3 linked regions of the Drosophila melanogaster genome follow. The protein of the gene in region 3 interacts with the protein of the main gene of each other region in a pairwise test. Each region holds a gene or a part of one and is shown on either strand. Other genes may lie near its edges.

Region 1 (4,954 bases), 4.2 Mb from region 3:
CACATACCCATAAAACCATCAAGCCAGTATTGGTAAGCGCACGAGTGATAACCGTCTCTCCACTTCAAATTTGAATCTGTAAGAGAAAATATTTATGATCTCGCCTAATCATTTCCGCCCCCCAAAAATGCCACCTTATCGATGCTGGGCGCCAAATAAAGATTACCGCCATATCTGGTTGCATGTTTACTGGCTAATTCCACGCAGGTCGATAAGCACTATTATTGAATTAAGACAAGCCGATTTCATTGATCAGACCCCCCACCCCCGCGCCCACGAACATTTTCATTAAATCAGAGGTGCAAAACAGGCAGTATACGGTCGCTTAATTCAACAGTTTATGGCCCGGAATATCAGCATATCAGCTTATCGATACCAATGACCGCAGACCAGCAAAGTGCATCGGGTTCACTCATTAGAATTCCCAGTCAGAAATCCGCACTCAATCTGTACAGACCGTGCCGAATCGAATTCGGGCCTTGTGCTTATATTAGTTGAAATCAACAAGTACTTCGGTTACTCAATCGTTTCCCGTGTGTTCGTTTATTAGGAATACGGGCTCTAAAGGGTACAATTAAATGGGCGCCACCGAACAGCAAGGCAACGTAAGTAGCGGCATATTCGAGGCAAATCCTCGGGATTAAATAAATACTTTACAATAAATATAGGCTTACTTTTACGTATGTCTATAGTAAATAAGCCTGGCGCCTAAGCAAGCAGCATGTATGTATAAACCCTGTGTGCGGCACGCTCGGAGGCCAAAGCGAAATGCGTGGCTTGGTCCGATTAGCTGCCTAAAACGGCACTGCCTGTTCGACCAGCTTGTAGCCGTGGCCGGAGTAGCTTCGCGGCGGGTAGAGGACGAACAGACCCAACTGCAGCAGCGACAGTATGCAGCCCAGAAAGTTGGGAATCTGAAAAAGCAAAACAAACAAACGCCGTCGTAATTCGCTGTCTGGCTGGCGAGTCGTGGGAAGTGGTTCACCTGGATAAATGAGTCCGATATCAGTATACCGTAGATAAGCCACTGCAGGCTGACCACGAAGGACGTGGCTATCAGAGGCAGGGGAAGGCTCTCGGAGTTCTTCGCCCGTATCACATGCAGCAAGCTAGCCAGCGGGGCGGCGAAGAAACACACGGTCACGATGCAGCACACAATTCCTGAAATTTTATTCAGGAATTTAGCAAACCTGACATTGCCGAAGTGTATTCGAAAACGTGCTCGTACCTGTGACGTGTATCATTCGATCGCGCTGATCTTCCAGCCGATTGGTGTAGACAATGACCACCACCAGAACAGTCAGAACAAACCCAAACTGCTTTACACAGGCACGTTTGTTGACGGTAAACACATAGTAGATCAGCGTGTAGACCAGAAAGAGCGTCGATCCGATGATGTTGACCAGCACAATGCTCTGCTCGTTGGTTAAGACACCGTAGCGCAACCAAAAGCTGCACCTGTACAAATATTTTCAATTATTTAAGTTGGTTAAAAGCCGAACAACACAGGGGTGTTAGCCAGCCAAGCAGGCGAAGTTCACACGATGTGTGTCTTTAAATATGGATGCTGTATAATATCTAATTGATTTTGTATGCCAAATCCGTGAACTTTGGAATGAAAATGGCTTTTTTCCTAATATATGCATGTAAATCTAATATCATTGAGAGACCTGGAACTTAGAATAATTAGCTATGGTTCAATCCTAAGTCTCTAAACTCTAGTGCATGAATTTCTTATTTTAAGAACCAGTAGTCCCGTCAAGCGCGACCAATTCGAATTTATCTCAGTTGTGCCAAGTCGGCAGTTTCTACTTACGATAAGAATCCGCATATGAAGGGAACTCCGGAAGAGTCCCCCGTGCTTTTCTTCTGGATGTACTTTCGGCATATCATGCTGCAAGTATAAGGAAATTAAACAGTTGATGATACTTTGGACAATGCTAGTTGCATTGGTTTATGGATGACTTACGCGCCGGAGAGGAACTGGAAGACGGTGCTGATCACCGCCGTCGTTGACAGCAGTGAGTCGTAGGCCACCGCCGACATAGCGATCAATCTTCTTAGTAACTAATGCTAAACCTAAACGGTGGTTAAAGACGCTGCGGTTTCAACTACAACGTCAACAAAAAGCTGAACAGCTGGTCGAGGGCGTAGAGATGGCACTTTCGACTAGAGATGGTCCCGTACGCAAGGGCTTAGTTCACGAATTTAAAAATGTATACTGTTAACCGGCAAATCTTTTTGGTATCTGTGAAATAAATTAAAGTAGACAGTTTACTTGTTTAGCCTTAACAAGAATCTCATCAAATTTCATTTTCCCTTTTTGGCGCTCGGTGTCACAAAAGATTTTGCATCACTAACTAAAAGATTGCTTTTCTATCGATACAGCACGCGCAGTTTTCAAATTATTCGGGAAGGAGCGCTGCCCAATTTTTACAATCTGAACAAGGAAACAAGTTAGTCCATAAAAGGTTTTACTCTCCTATTACATTTTCTGTTTTGATGTTATTGTGTTCTTTTTATTAGCCAATATTTCTTTGCTACCAAAAAGTTTAATTTGGCTATTTCTTGCAACAAAAGCGGCAAGAAGCTTTTTACACTCTAGCAATGAGTTGGATATTATGAAACTGTTGCTATTGGGAAATATTTGGGACTTTTAAAAATATCGTGTTAAAGTGTTTTTTTTTAGTTCTGGAAATCTTTTATAGTTACATTTCGTTAAATACCATGCTAAAATATAAAATTCTATGCAATCTGGAAAATGTTTAGTTGGTGATGAAAACTTGTTGAATTGTATACAAGGGTATTATTACTTCGGCTTGACTTATTTATTATTCCTTATCTGTTGCCGGCACCCAAAGCGTTATTGTGGTGGCGATTCGTTCTTGGCGAAAGCTTTTTCTCCACCAACATCGCTCAGCTGGGGAAATTCAGTCGCGCTCCCGACTCCAACGCTGCCGCACCGTACCGCTTTGATTCCAACTCAATCCCGCGTGCACTGCTGGCGGTGCGCCGTTTACAAACAATTGTGGTTTAGAATTCCGAACTGCTGGGGGGATCGCAAACTAAGAATCCACACTCGGTGTCCGTTGCACAACACTGTTTCGGAACCCGATTACCTGCCTTACCACCAATTGCTAACAATTGTTCTAACCGTGTTAACACGCACACATCGTAACTGTGTGCTCCGAGTGCCTTGGGAAGTGTTTCCTCAAAAAGTGGTGATTACCAGGCAAAGTCCACTGTTATGGCCACCAAAAGCCAGCCGGCGGAGGCTCAACAATTGTACCCGCAGCCCAACAGAGTGGAACTGCTCTCGGCGCAGACGGATCCCAGCCAGGTGAGACTCTTTTCCAGGTGAGAGAGAGAGCGGGAAGATCGCCAAATTTTCCCTCTACCTACCACCGCTGTTTTGTGGTTCTTGTTGTTGTTGTTTTCCTGTGGACAGTATCTCTGCACATGCACATTTTCTTTGTTTCTTCTTTCGATCCCGTTGTTTTTCGCTCTCTGTCCGGATGCTGTTTCCCACTCTTTTATCTTACGCATTTTATTTTCAATATTTCGCTCTTTCTTTTGTTTTTATATGTAAATCTACTCGGCTATATGCGTCTCCTCTATGTATTAATTTTATTTTCTGTCATGCATAGTTGTTTTCAAAGTCGAAAAAATATTTATGTGCATGCACACATACAACCGACGCATTAGTATATGGTCGATTCACCTACAGTGGAGCCTACGTTGACACGATATATGTAAACAAGTACATATATATAGTACATGTATATAGAAAAAAAAAATACTTTTATGGATTTTTCAAATATTTCCTATATGCATATATATCCATAAAATTGGGCGCAATTAAGAAGTTACTAATTTCAAATGCCTATGTTAGTGACAAGATACAAGTCACTAGATACGAAGGAAGTTTGATTCTCACTATTCAACTAGATTATATTATGTAACAGTAAGGTGGAGACATGACTTTTTATGTAAATATAATTTAATAGTGTTAGCTTAAAAGCTTTCTATTTTACAACCATGTTTTGTACTGTAACTTTGACCTTTTTGGTACACAAGTACTTAGTACCGCATCGTTTTCATTATTTTGGCAAACAAACTGATTTCCCAGTACATACACTTCGGCTGAGTTCCCAGCCATTGCTTATCAGTTATACAGAAACACCGACTGCGGTCTTCCATTCGGTTATAAATAGTATGCGACCTAATCGCATATGATCCCAAATGCTCCTGCTGAGAAATGGAAAGTTTTGGCCGTGGGTCAAGTTTAGCCGTAATTAGCGCCAATTATTGCGATTATGACAAAGCTGGAATTAATCAGAGAGTGCTGATAACGCAACCCCCATTCGAATTCCGAAATGACCCTGCACAATGACGCACTAAACCGCTATCAGGGTTCGCATTTTGGGCACAACCAGGGGGAACTATTGCTCCAAAGTAACTAATCGTGATCGGAAAACTTTGCAGAAACCGCGATGGGGCAACCTCCTGCTGCTGGTGGCCCTGGCAACCACATTTGGCGGCGCCGTTTCCACCGGCTACTGCATAGGCGTTATCAACGCCCCCTCGAAGGTGAGATATGGACAACCACAGCGAGTGGAATACCGATTCAAACGATATCTTTACAGCTGATGAAAGTTTGGTGTAATCAGACCCTGCACGACACCTACGGGAGTAACCTCAGCGCAGGCGGTCTAGATCTCTTGTGGTCGTGCGTCGTTTCTGTGTTCCTGGTCGGAGGCGCCATCGGTTCGCTGGGCGGAGCTGGAGCAGCCAATAAATTTGGCAGGTATGTAGCTATTAATCAATTCGATAAGGATAAGCCACTTGGGTTTCCTCAAGTGTTTCTAGTCCGCCAATTCACATATCTGTATAAACCATTCATTTTTGTTTTGTTTTAACTTCCGTTGAACTAAATATATATATTGAAATGAAA
Region 2 (3,088 bases), 6.1 Mb from region 3:
TCTTATCTATATTCTGAAATAATTATATAGTTTTCATCAAAAATAAAATTATAACATTATTTTTCGTCATTTAAGGCTATAGGAATTTAGAGTATAGTATATACAAATAAATTAAGAAAAGGTTAATATGCGTGCAACAGTGCGTATGAGTAATGTCCATCATAAGAGGCGTGCCTTTTGGAGCCTTTAGAAAGTTTTTTCAATAGCAAGTATTTAAAGATCATATTTAATATGTATATATACATATTTGTATATATTTGGCTTTAATTTGCATTGAAATTGTGTTAATCAAATGCTTTAGTGAACATTTCTTGTTTAGCTACTTGTTTATATTAGCTGCAAGGTATTAAAAATACGAAAATAGTTTTGTTTTTTCACCATTTTATTTGTAATTGGCGATGTATTTTTTACTACTAGTTTTCATTTTAGTACAAGAGTGAGAGTATAAATATGGTGCTTTGGATTTGAGGTAAGTTTTGGCCCATCTTCGAAATTAAGGCGAGTACTTTCCTACTTTCCTACTTTCCTACTTTCCACCGTGCACATTGCAGTATTTGCAGTCCCCGTTGATTACCACATTTCCTGGATCGGGCGACAGGGGAACAGCTGCGGAAGAAATAAATAATTTATAAAGTAATCAAATAGCTATAAAATATAGTATTACTAACCGTTGGCCAGAGCCAGCAGACCGAACACAAAGACGGTGACGACTGAGAAGAACTTCATATTGATTCTGGTTTGGTTGTTGTGGCTTTGATTTGCTAAATGCACAAGCAATCGATTGAATTCAACTGATGCTCTTGGCTAGTTCGATTGGATCTTATATAGCTCAGCCTGGAATCTTGGAGCAGCAAATGTGCATTGGTTGGACGGAGGCCACTGATAACCCCCATCGAATCGAAAGCGCTTGGGAAAACACAGAAAGTTGAGCGTTCAATAGCATTTGTTTTGCGTATTTAAATCTGGAAATTCCAGTCCCGTGTTTATGGGCGTGTTATGTGAACCAACAGGTAGAAGCTAAGATTGCTTTAATGTTCGAGAGAAAACCATTGGAGTTCTTAGAAGTATTCAAAATAGTTGCAGTTCAATATAGCTTTCAATCATTTGTCTTTCTTTATAAGAACTGAATAATTTGTTTTTTGTTTTGTTTACAAACAAAGTTTGTTGTTGTTTTTTACCTCGATTTGAAGCACATGCACCTGCAAAGTTTTGCATATATTTCAATATAGAAATGTGTTGTGCTCAGTGAAATTGAAACCGGCTTATAACATTTTGAATACAAAGTCTGCACGTGCTACAAATTAAATTAACACGTATACACTTGCATTCAAAAACGAGTTCATTAAACTTACTATTGAGTATGTTTTTAAATAATAATATTCTGTAGTAATCTTTTTAACAATTACTACAAAGAAAGCGTTATATTCTTCTTGTAACCATTAAATGAAATTTTATACGCAGTCAATATAATATTTAAAAAAAAGTTAGAACTCAGGGAATAATTAACTAAATCATGTTAGAATATGGTTAATCTATAATAAATAGCTGAAATAAAATTGCATCAGCCGCTTTGTAAATTGTATTGATTTTAAAAAAAAGATGATAATTTATTATATTTTGAAAAGCACTCATTTCCTTTAATCTCCTACACAGGCAACAGTCAATAGTTCAGCTTTGTTTTAAAACAAAGGTGTACTCAATTCCAGCCAGATCGGTTTTAAATTTGTATACATTATATATATAGATTATACAGATTATAAATCTCAGCTAATCGGCACGGCTATAAAAAGAAGGCGACGCCGATCAATCGGCTTAGAGGGAATCATAATGAAGAGCCTGACGTTATTGGCGCTTTTGATCTTGGCCACGTTGGCCTTTGTCCACGGTCGGTTTGAAGGCCAAAAGGTTTTAACTTGAATATTAACCGTTCTTCTACCTAGGTGGCAAGGTGACCATCAACGGCAAGTGCGTAAACTGCTCCCATGATCAAACGACTACCACCACGCACAAGCCAACAAGTGGAAAAGGAAGTGGAGGTAGGACGACAGCCCGGCCAAGCTCGAGATCATCTCCAGCCCGCGGTCGCCCATCATGGGATGACGATGATGATGATGACCTGACCGGTGACTGGGCACTGCATCAATCGGCTGGAGGAACTCAATACATTGGCAGGCGTTCGAAGCGTCAGTCACGCGGTGGTCAGTACATCGATTTGGGCGGATCTGGCGGAAGGGGTGGAGGCGGAGGATGGGCAGGATCTGGCATAACCACCATCGATTCCAGTGGCTATCCCGGCGGAACACTGGTGCGCAATAGTGATTGCGTCGGTTGCAATATTCGCGGATAAAGTCAATAAATTATTGAAACACTAAGAAATTATCTTTTTTTTAAAACGAAGATTGTTTAAACTTATGTGGTGGAGGAATCATCTGTAAACCAATATTCGAATTTTTTCTTATAGTCTCTATAAATGATTGCGATTTAAATACAATTTACAATATAGCTTTCATTTTATTACATTTTTATTATGATGCTAAATATAAGTTTTGATTAAAAATTTCTATTTGCCACCACGAACATTGCAATTCACACAGTCGCCATTGATGATAACATTTCCTGGATCGGGTGACAACGGAATAGCTGTTGAATAAGATGATTATTTACTTAAGTAATCAACTAATTAATCTTTGTAGGTTCTACACACCATTGGCCAAAGCCAGAAGACCAAGCACAAAGACAGTGACGATTGCAAAGAATCGCATATTGATTTTCAATTAATAGATCCGGTTTTATAAGCTGAACACACCGGACAAACGATCAACTACAACTGATGCTCTCGATTAAGGGAAACCGATCTTATATAGCAGATAGTCGGATCTAGGAGTGAATCAAGTGCCATATGAGATGAGAGCGATTGATTGATAGCTGCTGACAAAATATTTTTTTCGTGGGAAATATAGATTTACACTTTTTGTTTTGATTAATTCGAAAATACTAAAAATAAAAAACATCTTTTGTTTAGTTAGAAAGGAAATAGAATCCTCTATTTGTATGTATTTCTTTGATTTGCATTTTTAATTCTATGTAT
Region 3 (6,100 bases):
GAAACTTATGATGATAATAATGTTGAAGTAAAAGCTTCAGGACAACTCGAGACTCTCACCATTGTACTGATGTTCTGGCACATAGGTCTCTGGATTGCCATCGATAAGGATCTTAAAGTTATCATCCACAGGCGATCGAGGGCCACTGGCACCTTGGGGTATCCGATTGCAGACTCCTCTGACTTCGGAAGACAGCAGAATGAGGAGCACGATATGGCGAAGCATCTCTTCTCAATCTTAGCGATCCGTACTGGGTCGAGGCTCAACGGCGACTGACCAAAACTGATGGCTAGCCATCTCCATTAATTGATGAGCATTTCCAATTTATCAATTATCCCTTAAATGGCGCTCTCGGCGTTGACAGCTTATGGCATCTTGATTGAGTTGTCTTCAATTAGGAATGGTTTGTTTTTATGGCAAGCTTTTCAATTGATGAATTGTGCCCGGGTTCTTTGAACTTGCAACCCGGCGAAAAATCACTCGTAAACTGGCCACTGTTTGCTTAATGGAACTGGGTCAAGGTTAAACTCAATCGGAATTGGAATTACCACGCGAACACAATTCTGTTTTATTGTTTTTAATACATATTTAATCTGTTGCGAGAAGAGCTAGTGTAGGTAGTCTGGAATTTTTCATATATTTAACGATATCCATTGGTAATGATTACATAGTTGGATTAGAACTAATACTTGTAGCAGTTAATGGTATGTTCACCACCGCTCTGGATCATCGTTGCTGGTCAGCTGGCAAGGCATCATCACGCACTTTTCCATGCGGACGCGATCCTTGCACTTGTAGCTCAGATCGGTGTTCATTAGGGTTCGGGTTCGTTGGCGAACGGCATTATCGCCACACGTGGCGGTGCATGGTGTCCAGGCGGACCACTCCGAGTAGCGACACTCGTCCTGCGGTTCCGGTTGCGGAGCTCTTACCACATGCCTTCGCTCTCCAAATCCCCGTCCACTGATTGAGTACATGTCATCGCACCGCTGGTAGCAGCGATCCAAACGTACCAGGTGCTTGGGACATGGCTTGCCTCCATACTTCGGAGTACGGAGCACCCGACGCGTTCGCAATTGGAAGCCATCGCCGCAGGAGGCGTTGCAACTGTGGGAAACCCAGTCAGAGACGAGACAATCAATGGCTGGAATGCCATCGTGCTGCAGTTCCTGTTTGTGGCGCGGCAGGCGACATGTCTCCTCGCACTCCTCCTTCGACTTGAATTTGTTGCGATTTGTATCACAACGATCCGACCAATAGATGGCACACTGGTCACTCACATGGTCGTAGTACCAGAAGTTGGCCACATCGTTATCCCGACACGGACTGTCGGTCAGCTCGTCGTAGCAGAAGCCGGGAACAATGGTATCGCAGCTAGGATTGGTGCAGTTCACCTCCTCGTGCAGCTTGATGTGTCGACAGGGATCCTGGCCGTCATCATTGGGATCCGTTACTCCGTACACCTGGTTGTTATTCCACACCTTGCGAATACGTTGCCGCTTTCCATGTCCACCGCATGGCCCCATGCACGGCGAGAAATCCGACCATGGAGTGACCCCGCAAACCGGTGGTATGTAATCCTCCCGATGCTGACTGTAACTCTCGAAGTTGCGGAATATGGAGCGTTTCTCAGCGGATCCACCTCCGTCGCCACCGGCCTGTTCCTCCTCCGGTTCCCCAGCACCACCTTCGTTCTCGATGTCCCCACCGCATTCCATTGCCTCGCAAATCTTGGTCTCATGCAGACGCGCCCTGCTTGCCTTCTGGCACTTCTTCTTGGCCTTCTTGTTTAGATAGTGTCGGGATCGGGTCATTTCGCCGGTTCCACAAGTCACGGTGCACGAAGACCACTCCGACCAGTCAGACAGACCGCACTGGGGATCGTCGCTGCTACCTGGTGATGGCGCCACCTCCGGCTCGCCGCCTTCAGCTGTCTCCTCATTGAAGCCAGCGCACTTGTGTCCCACGCAGTTCTTCTCCTCACGCAGGGCATTGTTGCAACGATGACGCTAAGGTAGGTGTCAAAATGTATATATAGTATGGGATCCAAATTATATATGTCGTCTTAATTACCGAAGCCAATGCAGGGTTCTTGAACTCTCGGATTCTGTATTGCTTGCCGGGACCGCACTTTGTGGTGCATTCATCCCATCTGGACCACGAGTTTGTGGCGCACTCCGGCGGTACCTGTTCCGCTACAGGATTAAAGTATATAGTATGTATATTCACAACATCAATATATGGTTGCATTTAACTTACAATCGGAGGACTCGCAGTTCTTTTCGTAGAGTCGTCTTCGATTGATGTGCAGGGTGGCCAATGGCTTCATCTGGGCACCAGTGGGATCATAAAAGGGCGAACGGGGATCGTTGGGGAAATTTGATTTGATGCGGCGCACAACATCTGGAGGCACCTGTGGCTGGTCAGCGGACTGAAAAGTATTCGTGATTGACTCTACTGAAGACTAAATCATGGAAATCGTCTTACCATATATGATGGACCACTATCGGTGCCCGCATCCCAGGGATATAGGTTGTGCACCTTGTTCTCCACCCAGGAACAGTTGGGCAGACATAGCTCGAGGCCGGATACACCAACGATCCAGTCTGGAGAGGGATCCACCATTGATACGAGGGAGATCAAATGGTGGTTGGAGTCGACGCGAAAAACGGCAAATGTTTTGCCCGTAACATTCGGATAGGCAATGCCCCTTGCCTTGATGATCGTGCGAATGTGTTCGCTCTGATCCTTCAGCTCACTCTCCAAGGTCCTTGTGGAGCCATGCTCCGCCACCTCACGCAGCCCCTCGCTGGCCAGCTCTCCATACTGCCAGAATCTGTAGTCCAGTGTGTGCGAGGCACCAATGATATCGCTGAATCTGGTGCGCCAGCTATTCGCTGGAAAGTCCTTGGGATGTGTGTGACGCGACCACTTGCCTTCGAAGGTAAGCTGAAGTAAGGAGGTGTTAATACCATTTCAATAATGAGTTAAAAGAGTCCCACCTCATATTTGGCCTCGTCACAGGCACAGCACGGATCCACGATGCTGGGCTGGGTGTCAATGTCGTCCACCTCCTCCTCGCACATACGCTTGGTAAGGAAGCCATCATCCATGAACCACACATCTCGATGCTGCATCACCGTAGCCCTCAGCAGGATGCAGCCCTGTCCCGGACTCGATGGAGCCACCCAGAACACATCCACGCGTGTCTTCACGTTCGTGTTGGTATTCTCGACAAGATTTGGGCAGCGCGGACTGAAACGGGTCTCGGCGAGATCGGCGATCTCCCAGGTGCCCAGGGCATTGGCGTCACCATCGCCGTCACCACTCTCCAAATCCAGGGCCAGCATAAAGCTAATGAAGGACAAGCCAGAAAATGCACTGAGGCTAACTGAAAACGAGCAGCGAAAGATTAGAGAATTGAAAGAAAAATCTAGAAATTTGTAAATTTAATTTAATTTAATGCTTAATTTAATGCACTCACCATTATACCTTTGACCGGGCACATAACTCTGCGTATTTCCGTTTACGGACAGCACATAGTTATCATCCACCGGTGACTTGGCTGCTGTGACTCCCGGTGGGACCCTAATGCAGCCCTCGATCCGGGGAATAACACCCACTAATGCGAGAAGAATAGTGAAACCTTCCAGAGCTTTCATTTCAAAGAGCTGCAATGCAAAATTGAGTGGGAATACAAATTTACAATCATTTGATGCAGCCACGTGGTTGTGGGGGAAAAAACTATTTCTGGCCAGCACTTAATTGTCTTAATTATCCGCATTGGTATCGAATGTCAATGGCAACCAATGGAGCCTACTTCCAGTTTCAAACTGAACTTGAATTCGTAGAAATAGCCTTCAATTGAATGACTTTGCGTGATGTCACACATAGTGCATATTGCTATTTTCGCAGACACTTTCCATTTCCTTTGAGATCCAAATTATGCCAGCTCAATTGCCATGCGGAACTTGAACTAGGCGGGTTGTTGGTTGTTTACCCCTTGAAAATCGGATCGCATTGCGTATATACAATATATAGTCTGTACTATATAGACCGTCTACGTCACTGATTAAATTCAATTGAAAAACGCGCCGACTGTCTACAGCGAATTCGAATACAAGGGGGTGACAAACGTCCATTTCCCATGGATCTAAATCATTAAAGTCACTTTTAGGGCTTCTTCACCTCAGTACTGCACTTATATTGTAGCACCCACTTTCACTAGCACATCATGTATGTTAATCCAGTTGATTAAGTTATTTTGAGAAAATAAACTAATAGCAAGGTGGTACAGATTGTTTTTTCATACTCTTGTTACTCAGTATTGATGGATCGTAAATGAAACAATCTCGAAATATATGCTTTTAGAGGGAAATCCGAACTAAGAACTTACTCGGTGGACGCACGAACAGCAACTGAATGCAAATTTCGCCGAGTCGATTATTGGATGGACGATGTGCATCATTCGGGACCGACGAATGGATTACATGGAGAACCTCAGAGAGGGAAAAACTGCTCTCTACTTTTCCCTCCCATTTAGCTTAGTTTCCGCTTCTTTTGCAGATTCGCATTTGTTGATAGAAACCATTAGTTTTCATACGCTCATTCTAAACAAACAGACCCCAAAAACACCGGGTACATTGGAACTGAACAAGTGTGCTCTGAGTTTGAATTCATGTTACTTCCACGAACCACCTCGTTTGGATTGGTCAGAAAGCATTTTTGTACCATTTACACTAGACGTAGTTCAACTGGAAATATTTAGAAACAAATTTTCTATACTATTTTTTCCTCATTTTGAACACAAAAATCGTTTACAAAAAAGCGTTGATTTCCGAAACTTTAGATATGAATTCTTCCAGCGTGACGCCGCGTTCAGTTCGTAGTAAGTACATGTACCTTGAACGCTATACGAATGTGTGCTTCAAATGCTCGTTATCCTTGTTAGGTAACAAAGCATTCTTGCTGAGGACAGCTGGAAAGGCGGAAAAGCAAGCCTCAGACAAAGCTACATGGGTGAGTGAGATAGAAGAAAAGGGTTTAGTTTTTTCAAATGCTTTACATCCCCGTCCCAGTCTCGCACTTCTTCTTGTGGTGGCGTCTTCTCTACTCCTCCCACCCAGAATGGCGACGGAAGCCCAAACAAAGGTAGGCTCAGTCACATTCCAAATAGGCGTGGAGCGAGTCGGTCGTCTATCCATTCGCGAAAAACTTCTCTGGAACGGGTTACTTCTTCGACGAAAGCGCGCCCGTGTGTCAGTACGTATTCGTTGCCCAATCGACGGGTCGAGCCCGAGCATAAAGTAGTTGAGCCCGATCGGAAAACTGATATCGATGAGTTGAATCCCCCCAAGCGGAACGTGGTTCCCATAAAGACGCATGCCCAGTCAGCACAATTGGTTAAGTCAACGACATGCGGTGGGTATCGCGAATATTTGAAACGTGGTCCAATTCTCTGATTATTGCCGTCCACAGAACCTTATCAAAATGTAAAGAAGCCTGAAAAGATGTCGCATCGCCGTGTCCTGGAGATGAACCGGATGCGGGTCTTTGATACGCAGAAAAAAAAACTGGAGAACCTGCAGTCCGAGTTTATGCACAAGATCCGGTTAATGGGTTCGGAGCTCCGGAATCAAGGGGTCTTCAAGTTTGTGGGTCTGACTGTAAACGATGAATGCAAGCTTGTGGTCCACCATGATGATCTACTTCGATTGCCCAAGAGTATTCGTAAGTTCGTTTTGATTTTACGTCTTCGATTGAATGAATTGTTATCCTTGAATTATCCTTCTTTCGCTTACAATTGCATACTTTTATTTTCTAGCCGCCGAAAGTATGAATGACTTGAAAACCAGGTGTCGTGCGATTGTAGATCAGGGGGTTTTGTTAATCTACGACCATATACCAAGAATTCAGAGGGCTAAAAATGATCTCGAGGCTAGTGAAAAGCGTGAGGAAACTCAAAAAAAGTTGTCTAACCTAGTGGTATGTTTTTGTGCAACCGCTATGATGCACTAGCAATGTGAAACTATTTTATTGTGTCTCCAGGAAGAAAAAATGAATTTAATCGTCGAGGAGATCGAACAGTTGTGCGGTGCAT

What was found. The genes of interacting proteins can lie anywhere in the genome.
Region 1: the proteins of CG17739 (region 3) and slv interact in a two-hybrid assay, tested with the Drosophila melanogaster proteins (one large-scale study listed by BioGRID).
Region 2: the proteins of CG17739 (region 3) and BomBc2 interact in a two-hybrid assay, tested with the Drosophila melanogaster proteins (one large-scale study listed by BioGRID).

What each region holds. Positions count from the first base shown.
Region 1 is NT_033778.4:8,080,046-8,084,999, forward strand, and holds slv (saliva), read right to left. Parts: upstream 3,248-4,954; 5' UTR 3,230-3,247; exon of another isoform or gene 2,814-3,229; intron 2,249-2,813; 5' UTR 2,047-2,248; coding exon 1,970-2,046; intron 1,895-1,969; coding exon 1,817-1,894; intron 1,459-1,816; coding exon 1,229-1,458; intron 1,162-1,228; coding exon 986-1,161; intron 915-985; coding exon 795-914; 3' UTR 514-794; downstream 1-513. Other genes in the region: sut1 (sugar transporter 1), read left to right, coding at 3,248-3,340, 4,486-4,590, 4,647-4,807.
Region 2 is NT_033778.4:18,384,311-18,387,398, reverse strand, and holds BomBc2 (bomanin bicipital 2), read left to right. Parts: upstream 1-1,809; 5' UTR 1,810-1,827; coding exon 1,828-1,885; intron 1,886-1,940; coding exon 1,941-2,347; 3' UTR 2,348-2,560; downstream 2,561-3,088. Other genes in the region: BomS2 (bomanin short 2), read right to left, coding at 527-606, 669-726; BomS4 (bomanin short 4), read right to left, coding at 2,561-2,640, 2,705-2,762.
Region 3 is NT_033778.4:12,304,850-12,310,949, reverse strand, and holds CG17739 (uncharacterized protein), read right to left. Parts: upstream 4,423-6,100; 5' UTR 4,397-4,422; intron 3,672-4,396; 5' UTR 3,663-3,671; coding exon 3,485-3,662; intron 3,392-3,484; coding exon 3,003-3,391; intron 2,950-3,002; coding exon 2,488-2,949; intron 2,432-2,487; coding exon 2,260-2,431; intron 2,196-2,259; coding exon 2,074-2,195; intron 2,010-2,073; coding exon 711-2,009; 3' UTR 538-710; downstream 1-537. Other genes in the region: CG30203 (uncharacterized protein), read right to left, coding at 1-4, 60-225; salto, read left to right, coding at 4,852-4,888, 4,952-5,019, 5,079-5,421, 5,479-5,730, 5,825-5,985, 6,049-6,100.